Linked DNA regions of Oryzias latipes. The main gene of each other region encodes a partner of the protein of the gene in region 2 in a complex. Links are inferred from orthologs where the notes say so. Each region holds a gene or a part of one and is shown on either strand. Other genes may lie near its edges.

The links.
Region 1: the proteins of disks large homolog 4 (region 2) and 5-hydroxytryptamine receptor 2C-like are in contact, whole or in part, in an NMR structure (PDB 2MHO), measured with the Rattus norvegicus proteins. The link is inferred for Oryzias latipes from reciprocal best matches to the Homo sapiens genes DLG4 and HTR2C. Residues at the interface, in NP_062567.1 of Rattus norvegicus: Gly74, Leu75, Phe77, Ser78, Ile79, Ala80, Asn85, Pro86, His87, Ile88, Thr97, Lys98, His130, Val134, Leu137, Lys138; in NP_036897.2 of Rattus norvegicus: Val452, Val453, Ser454, Glu455, Arg456, Ile457, Ser459, Val460.
Region 3: the proteins of disks large homolog 4 (region 2) and cript are in contact, whole or in part, in a crystal structure (PDB 5HED), measured with the Rattus norvegicus proteins. The link is inferred for Oryzias latipes from reciprocal best matches to the Homo sapiens genes DLG4 and CRIPT. Residues at the interface, in NP_062567.1 of Rattus norvegicus: Gly322, Leu323, Gly324, Phe325, Asn326, Ile327, Val328, Gly329, Gly330, Glu331, Asp332, Glu334, Ser339, His372, Glu373, Ala376, Leu379, Lys380, Arg399, Phe400; in NP_063972.1 of Rattus norvegicus: Lys94, Asn95, Tyr96, Lys97, Gln98, Ser100, Val101.

What each region holds. Positions count from the first base shown.
Region 1 is NC_019876.2:20,439,956-20,443,609, forward strand, and holds part of 5-hydroxytryptamine receptor 2C-like, read right to left. Parts: intron 3,077-3,654; coding exon 2,841-3,076; intron 1-2,840. UniProt on the Homo sapiens protein: G-protein coupled receptor for 5-hydroxytryptamine (serotonin).
Region 2 is NC_019872.2:14,414,277-14,417,930, reverse strand, and holds part of disks large homolog 4, read right to left. Parts: intron 1,030-3,654; coding exon 923-1,029; 3' UTR 1-922. UniProt on the Homo sapiens protein: Postsynaptic scaffolding protein that plays a critical role in synaptogenesis and synaptic plasticity by providing a platform for the postsynaptic clustering of crucial synaptic proteins.
Region 3 is NC_019877.2:12,481,001-12,484,754, forward strand, and holds the start of cript (cysteine-rich PDZ-binding protein), read right to left. Parts: upstream 2,675-3,754; 5' UTR 2,562-2,674; coding exon 2,546-2,561; intron 2,343-2,545; coding exon 2,277-2,342; intron 905-2,276; coding exon 850-904; intron 702-849; coding exon 598-701; intron 1-597. Other genes in the region: pigf (phosphatidylinositol-glycan biosynthesis class F protein), read left to right, coding at 3,090-3,317. UniProt on the Homo sapiens protein: As a component of the minor spliceosome, involved in the splicing of U12-type introns in pre-mRNAs. Involved in the cytoskeletal anchoring of DLG4 in excitatory synapses.

The DNA.
Region 1 (3,654 bases), on a different chromosome or scaffold from region 2:
AATTATATAACACAAAGTCTTTCGTATCTTCTACGAGAGCTGTGATAGAAGAAGCCTGGAGCAAGATTCTAGAAATTTGCACTGCTTGGACATTTCACAACAAGCCTCTTCCAGCTTCAAAGACATGTGCAAGTATTGGGTAGAGACGTTCCAGTGTGACACCATATGCTTGTTAGTTTTGCACTAATTAAGTAAATCTACTTAAACTGGACTACAATACGATGAATGTGTGATGTAGAATGGTTTAAGAAAGAAAAAACAACCATCCATCCATCCATCCATCCATCCATCCATCCATCCATCCATTTTCTTCCGCTCATTCGAGACCGGGTTGGGGGGGCAGCAGCATAAAAAAAGATGCCCAAAATTCCCTCTCCTCTGCCACTTCCTCCAGCTCCTCTGAGGGGACCCCGAGACATTCCCCGACCAGCTGAGAGACACAGTCTCTCTCAACCAAAACACATCCCCAGGGAGACGTCCAGGAGACATCTGGATCAGATATCCGAGTCCCCTCAACTGGCTCCTCTCGATGTGGAGGAGCAATGGCTCTACTCCGAGCTCTCTGTGGGTGACCAAGCTTATTACCTTATCTCTAAGGGAGCGCCCAACTACCTTACAAAGGAAGCTCATTTCAGCCGATGATATTCGGGACCTTGTTCTTTCGTTCATGACCCAGAGCTCATGACGATAGGGGAGTATTCAAACGAAGATCGACTGGTAAATTAATCATATTTGTGTTTGACACAAAACAAACTGGGTGCTTGTTTTCATGATATGGTCTCTGAAGTCTGACACTGCCACCTGAACACTTTGTCTGTTGTGAAATGTGGTGCCTGTGTCACTTGATGCCTTTTTTCCTGTTCTTAGCTGACAGCTGTGACAGCTGATGTGGTCTTCTGTTGCCATTGTCTGTGAATGCGATGATGTCCTCCAGCTACCTTTGTTGTAAAGAAGGGATATTTGAGTTACTTTGGCCTTTCCATCATATTAAACCAGTCAGGTGATTAAATTCTCCGACATCCAGCAGGGCTTTTTACTCAAAGAAAAGCTCAACATTTAACAAGCTTTGCCTTTTTTTGCCTAAAGTTTCAGTCTACAACGACACTCACAACGTCCTTGGCAATACGCGTTCAAATGGCCACTTTTCATTAGTAAACAGTAAACAAGGGTAAAGGCACATTTTGCGCTACCATGTTCATAACTCTTGCATTCACCTATAGCTACACAAGTTTCTAACACAGTTATCGGGCTTTACTTATAAAATGTGCATCCAATAAACACGCTTTAAAATTACACCAGATCGAACTTTAACTAATTAGGGTTCCGGATTTGGTAATGATGAATGGTTTGCCTTTTAATTCACGGAAGTACCAACTGTTTGAAAATTGAACGTGGAGGAGAAATTAATAATTGTGGCTTTTGCCCAGCCGGTATTATGTGACACCAAGTCTTTCATATATCAGAATAGAGCTGTGAAAGAAAAAGCCTGGAGCAAGAGTCTAGAGCAGGGCTGCTCATTCCTGGTCCTCGAGATCTGCCACCCTGCCTGTTTTCCAGCTCTCCCTGCATTGCTTGCTGCTGATTACCTGGATCAAGTGTGTTCATTAAATCATAATTTGGAGACATCTGATTGAGCTAATCAGCAGATAGCAGGGCTTGGAGATCTGGAAAACAGTCAGGGTGGTAGATCTCGAGGACCAGGAATGAGCAGCCCTGGTCTAGAGATTTTGCATTTTACTTCAACATTTCACACCAAGCCTCTTCCAACTGTAGGTGGTGAACATGTGCTAGTATTGTGTAGCAACAACCCATATGCTGAACATGCCCGATGTGAATGTGGCATGAGTTTTTCCTCTCTGTTGAACAGGTGCTTCTGACACATCTAAACCAGGCAACATGCAGTCATTTACTTTTTTCCAGTCTTCCAGTCTCTGATAATCTTTTGATCTATTGTAAAAGCATTCTTTTATTTATGATTATACCGTTATAAGGCAAAATAAAAATAAAAAACTTTGTTGTTTATAGGACATAGTTTCTGCAGAGCGACAGGAGTTCATAAGAAATTTGCCTCTGAGTTGGGGGCAGAGCAACCAGGGTCGGTTGGGTCCCTTTTCCCACCCCATTATTGAGAGCTTTGTGTTTACACACTCTTGCTAGCTTATAGCCTCTCATACCTCCAACCTAACAAAATCAATTTTGGAGCTATCCAGCCGTACAGTTTTGGGCCAGCTGCCAGCTTGAACGAGAAAAACAAAGACGCACATGGATCTATTTGTCTGCACGTGCATGCATCAGAATGGGGCGGAGCAGGGAGCTCGTGGCCTGCCTTCTACGTCACAAATCTTGTTCAAACACCATTCTTATGTCTGTTCCTGATATACGTTTTAAATAAAAAAATACTCAGAAATACAATTTTAAGCTTCATATATGTCCTTCATATGTGTCCTAAATCAACAGAAAAATGCCGCAAGAACATGTTAAAAACACCAAAAACACAAATTTCATTGGAGTGGGTCTTTAAAGGTGGTTTACATTTAGCAAGAAGCATGTCTGTGTCTACACAAAAACCACTGCCGTACAGTTAACTGATCAAGACTTTGAGGCATCAAGAAGAAGAAAATATCGCGCAAAAGGTCTTCTCAATGTGTGTGTTGCCCAAAGGACAGATTATTTTGAGTAATCTTTCAAAGTTATCTAGAGTAAAAGCTGAGAGACATTTGAAAGTTTTTCCTGTCAATCTTTTAATATAATTCCCTTTAAAGTAAGTAAGATCTGTTAGATGATTGGGTCTCAAGTGAGTAGCGAGCATGGTCACCTGTAGTGCAACATTTCCTTCTCACCTTTGAAGCCCGCTTCTCATTTTTTATGGCCTGCATCATCCCCCGTCGTCCGTGGCAACCTGACGCATCACTCCGGCCAGGCCCAGCGGCTGGAGAACTGAGCTGTGACGCCACCTCAGAGCTGGGAATGATGCTGATGCTGTCAGAGGTGGAGGCACTGAGCAGAATGCTGGGCTCGGCCCCCTTCAGGCAGCTTAGAGTGTTTCGCCTGCTCTGAGGGGCTGCTGGCTTCACCTCTGCAGGAAAGGAAGAAGAGCAACAACTTGTGGATCGGGAACTTAAAATATATAAATATTAAAGTAGAAATACCCTACAGTATGCAATTTTATTTTTGAGGTTTTTCTTTAGCTTTGAAAAGCAAATCTGAAACATGAGGAGCCTCATGGTTTCAAAGAAAAGTGCAGCCCGTGCTGGAATCAATAACAGCAATAGCTTTTTGCTATTAACAGTGGTGCTGGCAATTTGCAGGAAAGCAGGGATGTGGCAGACAGGTGGGCATTTAATTCACAATTTTCTTGTCTGGATTGGACAGACGCAGAGCATGTGGAAGGGCGGCCATATCCTGCACATTTATCTCTAAATGGATCAAGCTATGTATATGCTGCTCTAAAATGATTTGATAAGATCACTGCTGGGAGAAAAAAAAAGAAAAACTTTCTTCGACTTCTTCCTCCTAATAACTGTCAGTGTCACCTGTTCGGTCTCCAAATCCAGGTTTCAATGAAAATACTATTTTTAGGTAGTTGGAAGGATTTTTTTCTCCCCAAACTTTTCAGGAATCCCCCCTATAGAAATCTATGTGTACAAAAATGAA
Region 2 (3,654 bases):
AAGTCAGTCTTGGTCTCTGAGGTGTTATTTGAGCTCACACCAGCGACCAAGAAGAGTCTTATAAAACATAGGTCTTTGCTAAGAAAAGACTCGTGGCATCTGCCAGATCCCCCCGTCCCAAACCAGTTCCCGGTCTTGCACCCTTTTTTGAAAGAAGGGGAGTTGTTAGGTCGAGGGGGAGGTCAGAAGGCCAAGAGACCATATAAAACAAGGGGCCAGTATCTCTTTGAACATCAGGAGGCATTGGCGCTAGGAGGTGTTCAGTGCAGGCATGAGACTTGAGATGACTGCAGGGGATGAGGTGCTCTTAACACTTCATCTGTGCTAGGCCAAATCCCCCCCCCCCTGCTCTCTTTCAAGCTGCCTGTCGTCCAGAAAAATCTAGACGGTGTGGAGAACCTGGCGTGAAAATACAACTCAGATCTGTTGCAGCTAGTCCCTCTGTGTGTTAAATTCACTTCATTTGCTATTGATCTGGTGAGAAAATGCAAAGGCTTCTAAATATGCATAAAACCACGCAAACATACATACCCACACACACACGGGTTATTTAGCATCACTAAAGCGTTTAGGACGTTTGCCTTCCCCCAGTTTTAGATGCAATCATAGCTCGTATCAAAGGTGCATTTAATGCTAAGTGTGTTCAGGGCTTCAGTGTTCAGTCCTGTTTCATCTATGTGGAATACTGATTAGATCTTTTCACTGTGTTCACATCTGCGCAGTTTCTTTTTTTGGTATCTGTCTTTGCCTCGCTGAGTTGCTTCCTGTGTGTCGGCCTCTTTGTTTTGCAGTGATTGCCAAAGCTCTGACGTTGCTGTAGGACAGACATACAGACAGACAGGCGAGGCCGGCTTGGCTGTGAAGGTGAAGGGCGGTGTCGGGTCGGTGGCTGTGAGGGAGCGGCGTTTGGGCGGAGGCAGCATCACAGCCTTTCCCGAGTTGGGATCCAGATGTAAGGCCCCGACTGTTCCTCAACCACTGTCTTTACTTTGTGATATACCTCTTCAAAGCTGTCCCCTTCCACGACAGCTGCAGCAGGAAACAAAGGAGGAGGAAACGTTAGAAAAAAAGGGGCGGATAGACCATAGGAGGTAGAAAAATGGAAGCATTGGATATAAAGATGAAAGAGTGAGTGTTTATCAGATGTGTACAGTGTAGCAAATAACCAGTAATCAGCACTATTTTATGAAACATCAAGACCTCGCCAAATTTCCTTTATGTTAATATTAACACACTTTCTCCCACATATTTATTCTTTAAGTGTTTGATAAGATGCCATGAAGCGCAGCTGTTCACAGCTTGTTGGAAACAAAACAGTAACAGATTTGCATGGAGACCTGGCTTTCATTTTCTGTCTACTGCTGAGATCTGCCCTAATTACGTCTTTAAAATGCTAAAATGCTCCAAGTTCCCCAAAACAGCACTGTTTTACTGCTTTTAACTCCCTCAGATATGCTTGTGAGGGGCTCATTATTCCAGAGGAAGATTGCGAAGCATTGTTATTGGCAAAGAATCTGTAAACACAGCATCAGGTCACAAAGTGTAAATAAGTAAAGAAAGCTATGATGTGAACATGTGAACGATGAGTTGTCTGACAATTCAAAGCCTAATTTTTGTGTTTAGTGCTGCCATCATTTAAGGCCCAAGTTAGCGAACAAATTCTCTGCTTTACTGCATAAATATGACCAAAAACATAATAATATTTCAAACAGGTCCTAAAAATAGATGATCCAATATTGTATCTCTGTGAGCAGTGAAAGTAGGGGAATTAATTAAAAATGACTGCATCCCAAATAGCACACTGCTGCCTATCTTCAGCTTTCAAAAAATGTGAAAGGCTGAGAAGCTGGGGGGCTGCTTTAAAACAACATGTGGACCAATGAAGCCAGACTATAAATGTTTGATGTAAAGCACCAACACGTTGTTTCCTTTCTTACTCCCTTACAAAATCTAATGGAAAAACCAACGTGGCACCACAGAAAACAAGATTAAGGAAAAAATAAGAGCTTTTTTCCCGATGAAGACATGTGATGAATTTTGAATAACGACGTTTTTGAGAAAATTGCACTTTTTCTTTTTCTTAAAGACTCACTCCAATGAAAAAATAGTTTTTTGTGTTTTTTACATATAGTTGTGGTATTATTCTCATGATGGAGGACATATAAAAAGAAAATTATGCTTCAAATTGCAGTTAGAAAAAGCCTATAAATGTGTTGCAGAAGCTACTACGGCAAGCCACAAGCTCCCTGCTGATGCATCCACTTGTAGATAACTAGATCCATGTACAAGCATACAGTTTTAAAACCAGATGTCAGCTTGGGCGAGGAAAGCGAAGACAAGGCTTAATTTTCTATATGTTCATGTCCTCCATCATCAGAAAAATGCCACAAGAACATGCTAAAACACCAAAAACACAGTTTTCCTCAGAGTTGGTCTTTAACCTGCATGCTCTTTAGAAATTGGTTCATCAGATGTTGGAATTTCTTTTTTCCAAGTGGAATATCAAGTTCCCAAAGGTAACAATAGGGGGAAAATTTCATTAAAATGTTTTATTTTTAATAATGGTCCAATAAATACAGTATGTGTTGTTGTTGTTTTCAATTATGACTAACCACTGTTCTTGGCAATAATTTAAAAGAAAATTTAATCAAATGTGATGCCATTTTGACATCTGACTCCATTGACAATAACATTTCATTCTTCCATTCACTAAATGTAAATTAATTTTTACTACTGTAGCCAACATGTGGCTCTAAAGAATTGCCATTTCTGAGATTATTAATACATATACAGTACAACATTAAAACGATACTATACAACAGCTCATTAAATGTAATCCTAACTTCTTATGTTGATTTTGCACAATATATTAACCCTGAAACATGCATACTGACATGTATATACAGTGAATTCCTAAATTTTTTTTTAGGAGTGATTACAGTATTAACATTTCTACATTATCCTGGACAACCCTTTAGCAAAGCAGAGAAGGTAAGAGGTTGAAAATTAGGCCTCAGTCTAGTAATCAATAATAATACGGCTGAGTCCCAATACGTTCTTCCTCCTCTCAGTCAGCCCAAAGATGTGGATTTGTAAGTTTATGTGCAGAAGAGTTACTGGCGGTTCATTCTTGATGAGAAAGTAAGACATTCTGTCCTGCACATACAGCTGTGGGAACAAAACATTTTTTTTCTGGCCAGGACATTTTATTCTCCTTAAAAAAAACTCTCATAAGTCCTCATAGGGGCCTCCCACTGATAAGTGCACACGCCACATGGATTTCTGCATTGTGCCAACAACAGCAGCTGTTAGGAAGAAATGACAGAAATGTTTTTTTTTCATTCAGTTGACTAAAAATGGAGCAAATTTAGTTTCTAAAACATTTGATTATTTGTTACTATAGGAACTGGATATGGATTACCTTCTTCAGGCCTTCTCTGGCATCAGCTAAACCAAAATGCCAATTTTCTGTCTTGTCTGCAAGACAAACTGTCTTGCTTCTTACAGACAATAAAAGCAGCCTTTAAAGTGTCCAAATTCTCGTATAGAGAGAAGGATAGTGTGATGTGCCAGGGCCATATTCTCCTTGAAATGTGAAAAGCAATTTAAATTCAGTGTTAGGAATGTTTTTCCTGAGTTACCATTTAGATTAGA
Region 3 (3,754 bases), on a different chromosome or scaffold from region 2:
AGCTCAGGGGCTATTTTTGACCACTTCATCAAAACCTGCAATATTTGGGGCACAACATGCAATTCTGCAATCAATGTAAAACCTTGTATCCACTTCTGCAAGCCGAGTGCTTGGGGCTGGGGTCGAGGTTTGTAAAAATATGGCTTTTGAGGTTTGAATTTCATCACTCAGTTCAAATACTTTACAGACATAAACAAACAGTTAAGTTAACCTATTCCTATACCTTTAAATTCTTTGTATCAGTCACCAGGAACCCTAAAAAAATTACATTTACATCAAAGGATATTTTATAAATTAAAGTGTGTAGTGAGAAGATAATAAAGGACTTGCCAACATGTGTACATTTATATAAATGGGCATCTGTTATGGAAGCACAAACATATGCCAGCACAATGTTGGTTATAGTAAAGATTTACAAAATTACAGACAAATTTATATCAATATTATGACTGAACATAAAAATGAAAAACCTACTTAATACTGTTCTGCTTTAATATGATTTTTGGTTCTACAATACATTGTAGTGTTAATTTTTGACATGTTACCTTCAATTTGTATTGAAGAAAATAAAAATAGAGTTTAAGTGCACAACTATACCTTTCTTGTAAGCACAGCCCTGGCAGTAGTGCGATCCAGGCTGATGAACAGAGCTCTTGCAGATTCTGCAGATGGCAAAGCCCGTCTTACTGTAAGGGTCGAACCTGAGAAAAACCACAGTTAAACATTGAGAATTAGCAACATCAAAGAACCTTAACAGCAAAATAAACCACTAGTGCTTACAGAAAGCTAGAAACTACTACACTGCCATTTGATTTATGAGTAAAAGTTTTTTCACAGTGCAATACTCACCTGGCCTTCTTAGATGTCAACATCTTGTTTTCATTTAGTTTACGGCCTCCACTCTCTAAGAAAAATAAAACAACATTGTGAGATTATATATACACATGTATGTACATACATACATACCAGTGGCGATTTCTTTAAGACTGCAAGGGAAGCTCTGCTTCCCTTATAATGTCACAAAATAAATGGTCAAATATGTACTATTGTATTGTATTGTATTTTATTTTATTAACATTTTATTGACTAAAAATGTGTAAGAAAACGTTCATCTCAAAGACGAGTTCGTTAAGAATCAGTTACATATAGCAAGTCGCCTGACTCGATTTCCTTCTCATACATTCCCGCAGCATCACAGTGCATTTCTCTAAAGAAGCCCAGCGTCCATTGACTTCAATCGGGCTGCTTTGAACATTTTTTTTCTGCGCTTCGAAACTAGATGGTCATTGGATAAACGCTGTGATTATGTCCCGCCAACGGATGCTCAGCGTCTCTGGGGGTGAGTGGGGAGTGGGCCAGCCCAAACTCCGAGCTTCTCCGTGATGATTGAAGGGTCTGTTAAAAGACCGCCTTCTGACTGAAGCTTTTCGCTTATTCACATTTCTCAAGTTCAGTCGAACTAAAAACTGCTGCAACCTATTTCTTTGATAATTGCTGGGCTAAATTGCTTGATTTTCATCATACATTTCACACAATTATACACCACATTGATTGTTTCAGTTTTACAGAGTTTAATATTTTTTTTTAGATAGTTAATTCTTCCCTTTGATTCAGGAAGACTGAGGTCAGAACTTCAAGTCCTGTTTTCAGATCAGGACTTGCAGGGTAACAGGGGAAAGCTGTATGATTACTTGGTGTTCCTTAAAGACATGGAGTTGGACAGTCCAATGCCTCAGCTTTACAAACTGTTCTCATTAGTGGCAACAATTGGAGTTACATCTGCAGGTGTAGAAAGGAGCTTCTCCTGTTTAAAGTGACTTAAGTCCTACACCCGAAACACAATGGGCTAAGGCTGTTTAAGCAGCCTAGCTCTGCTGGCCATTGAGAGGACATTGGTCAAGTCAGTTGAGACACCTAGTTGGTACGACAGGGTCACAGACCATTTTCTTGAAAAGGAACGTAGGGCATAAATACTTTTAAATAAATAGACAATTTTATGATGTAGGCCGAAAATGAGCCGACAGACAGACCGACAGACAGACAGACCGACCGACCGACCGACCGACCGACGGGGAAAACAGATATGTAAATGAGTACTGTTCTAATAAATATTTTAGCAGTAGCTTCTCCTTCCATCGTTTCGATTCCTTAATGACGTTCATTTACAAGACAGATTTTTTGGGGGCAACATATTTATTTTACCTGTCGTTCCACGATTGTCTAAATTATTAAACGTGTAAACATTTTTGGATGTTTTTGGATAGAGACTACGTTACCAGTCGTATTTCGTGCTCCATCCTTCCAAGTGTCAGGAGTGATGACCTTTCCGAGCTTCTTTTCGCCTAAAATATTAGGAAATCCCACATTAACAAAGAATTATTAATAATTAACAAAGCTAACTACGAGCAAGGAAAACCAAAACAAATGCTAGCATAACAAAATATTAGCCACTCAACAAAACAACAAAAATGTCACTAACTAACTATATTAACTAAGTCATAAGTGTAAAATTATGTAAGAAACAAGGCGAAAGTGCGATATTTACATTTTTCACAAACCATCTCAGCTGCGTTTACTTGGCCTGTCTTGATATAAAATGTGTACAAGCGTTCAAGCTAGCTCTGCTCATGTAACTTCCGGTTGTCTTCGTCAACTTGTACAAACAAATCTCATTGGGTAATCCTGTCAGTAAAACGTTATGTGATTCGTTCACTCCGACTAGAAGCGCATTTCTAAAATCCAGAATAAAAGTAAAATGAGAGTAACAATATTTTCGCCACGGAATCAGCACTCGAAAATATAAATTTCACTTTAGAAAATAGTATTTTATTATAAAGTGTTGAATATGATTTAAATATGTTGGGTAATGTATGTCAAAACAAAGAAATTGGTAGAAATTAACAATCAAAAGAGAATCTTCTGTTTTATTGTGAAACGCAAACGGAAATTGCTTTTTTTTTTTCATATTTACGGAAGCGTAGTCATACATGGATTTGCGTGTCCTTTCGCCTACCAAAATTCTAAGACACCTCTACTGAAATTATCTACATTATTCTATTGTCTTGTTGTGAAAAGTGAAAGTCTTCATCATGTGGGACCACGAAATCAGAGCCATGGTGTCGACCCACGCTCTGATCGCCGCTTCGATGTTCATGGCTACGGTGCTACCTGCAGTTTTTGTTCTAAGCTTCTCGGTGTACGGCACTCACCTGTTGTGGCTGTACTGCACATCCGGTGCTGTGAATGCTGTCAGTGTCGTCGTCTTCTGGCTCCTCGGCGTCACACCGTCCACTAAAAAAAATACACTTGGATATAAGGTCAGAATGTCTTCCCTCGGAAATGTCTTTATTTTGTCCAAACCCAAAGAAATGTGCTTGATTTGTTTAAGGTTTTTGCCAAATAGTCATACGTATATGAGAGAAGTATCAGAAATAATTATTACACAATTTAAAATAATAGAAAACTAGGTTTTTCAAAACAATTAATTCCTATTATTTACTCGTAAACGTTTTGTCTCGTTTTTAAAAAACAAATTTGCAAATGGACGTTTCAGTAATAATTAGAAATGTGTATTTCTGATTTGAACACATTTTTAATTGAGTTTATAAACATTTGCTACAGTGCTTTATTTTCACGTTAAACATTTTAAATTCATATGACAGTCTATATGCAATTGTTGCTTATTAACATTTTTCTGCTACAACAAACTCATATAAAAAAATAATTTTTCTGAGCTTTTACATATAAAAATTGT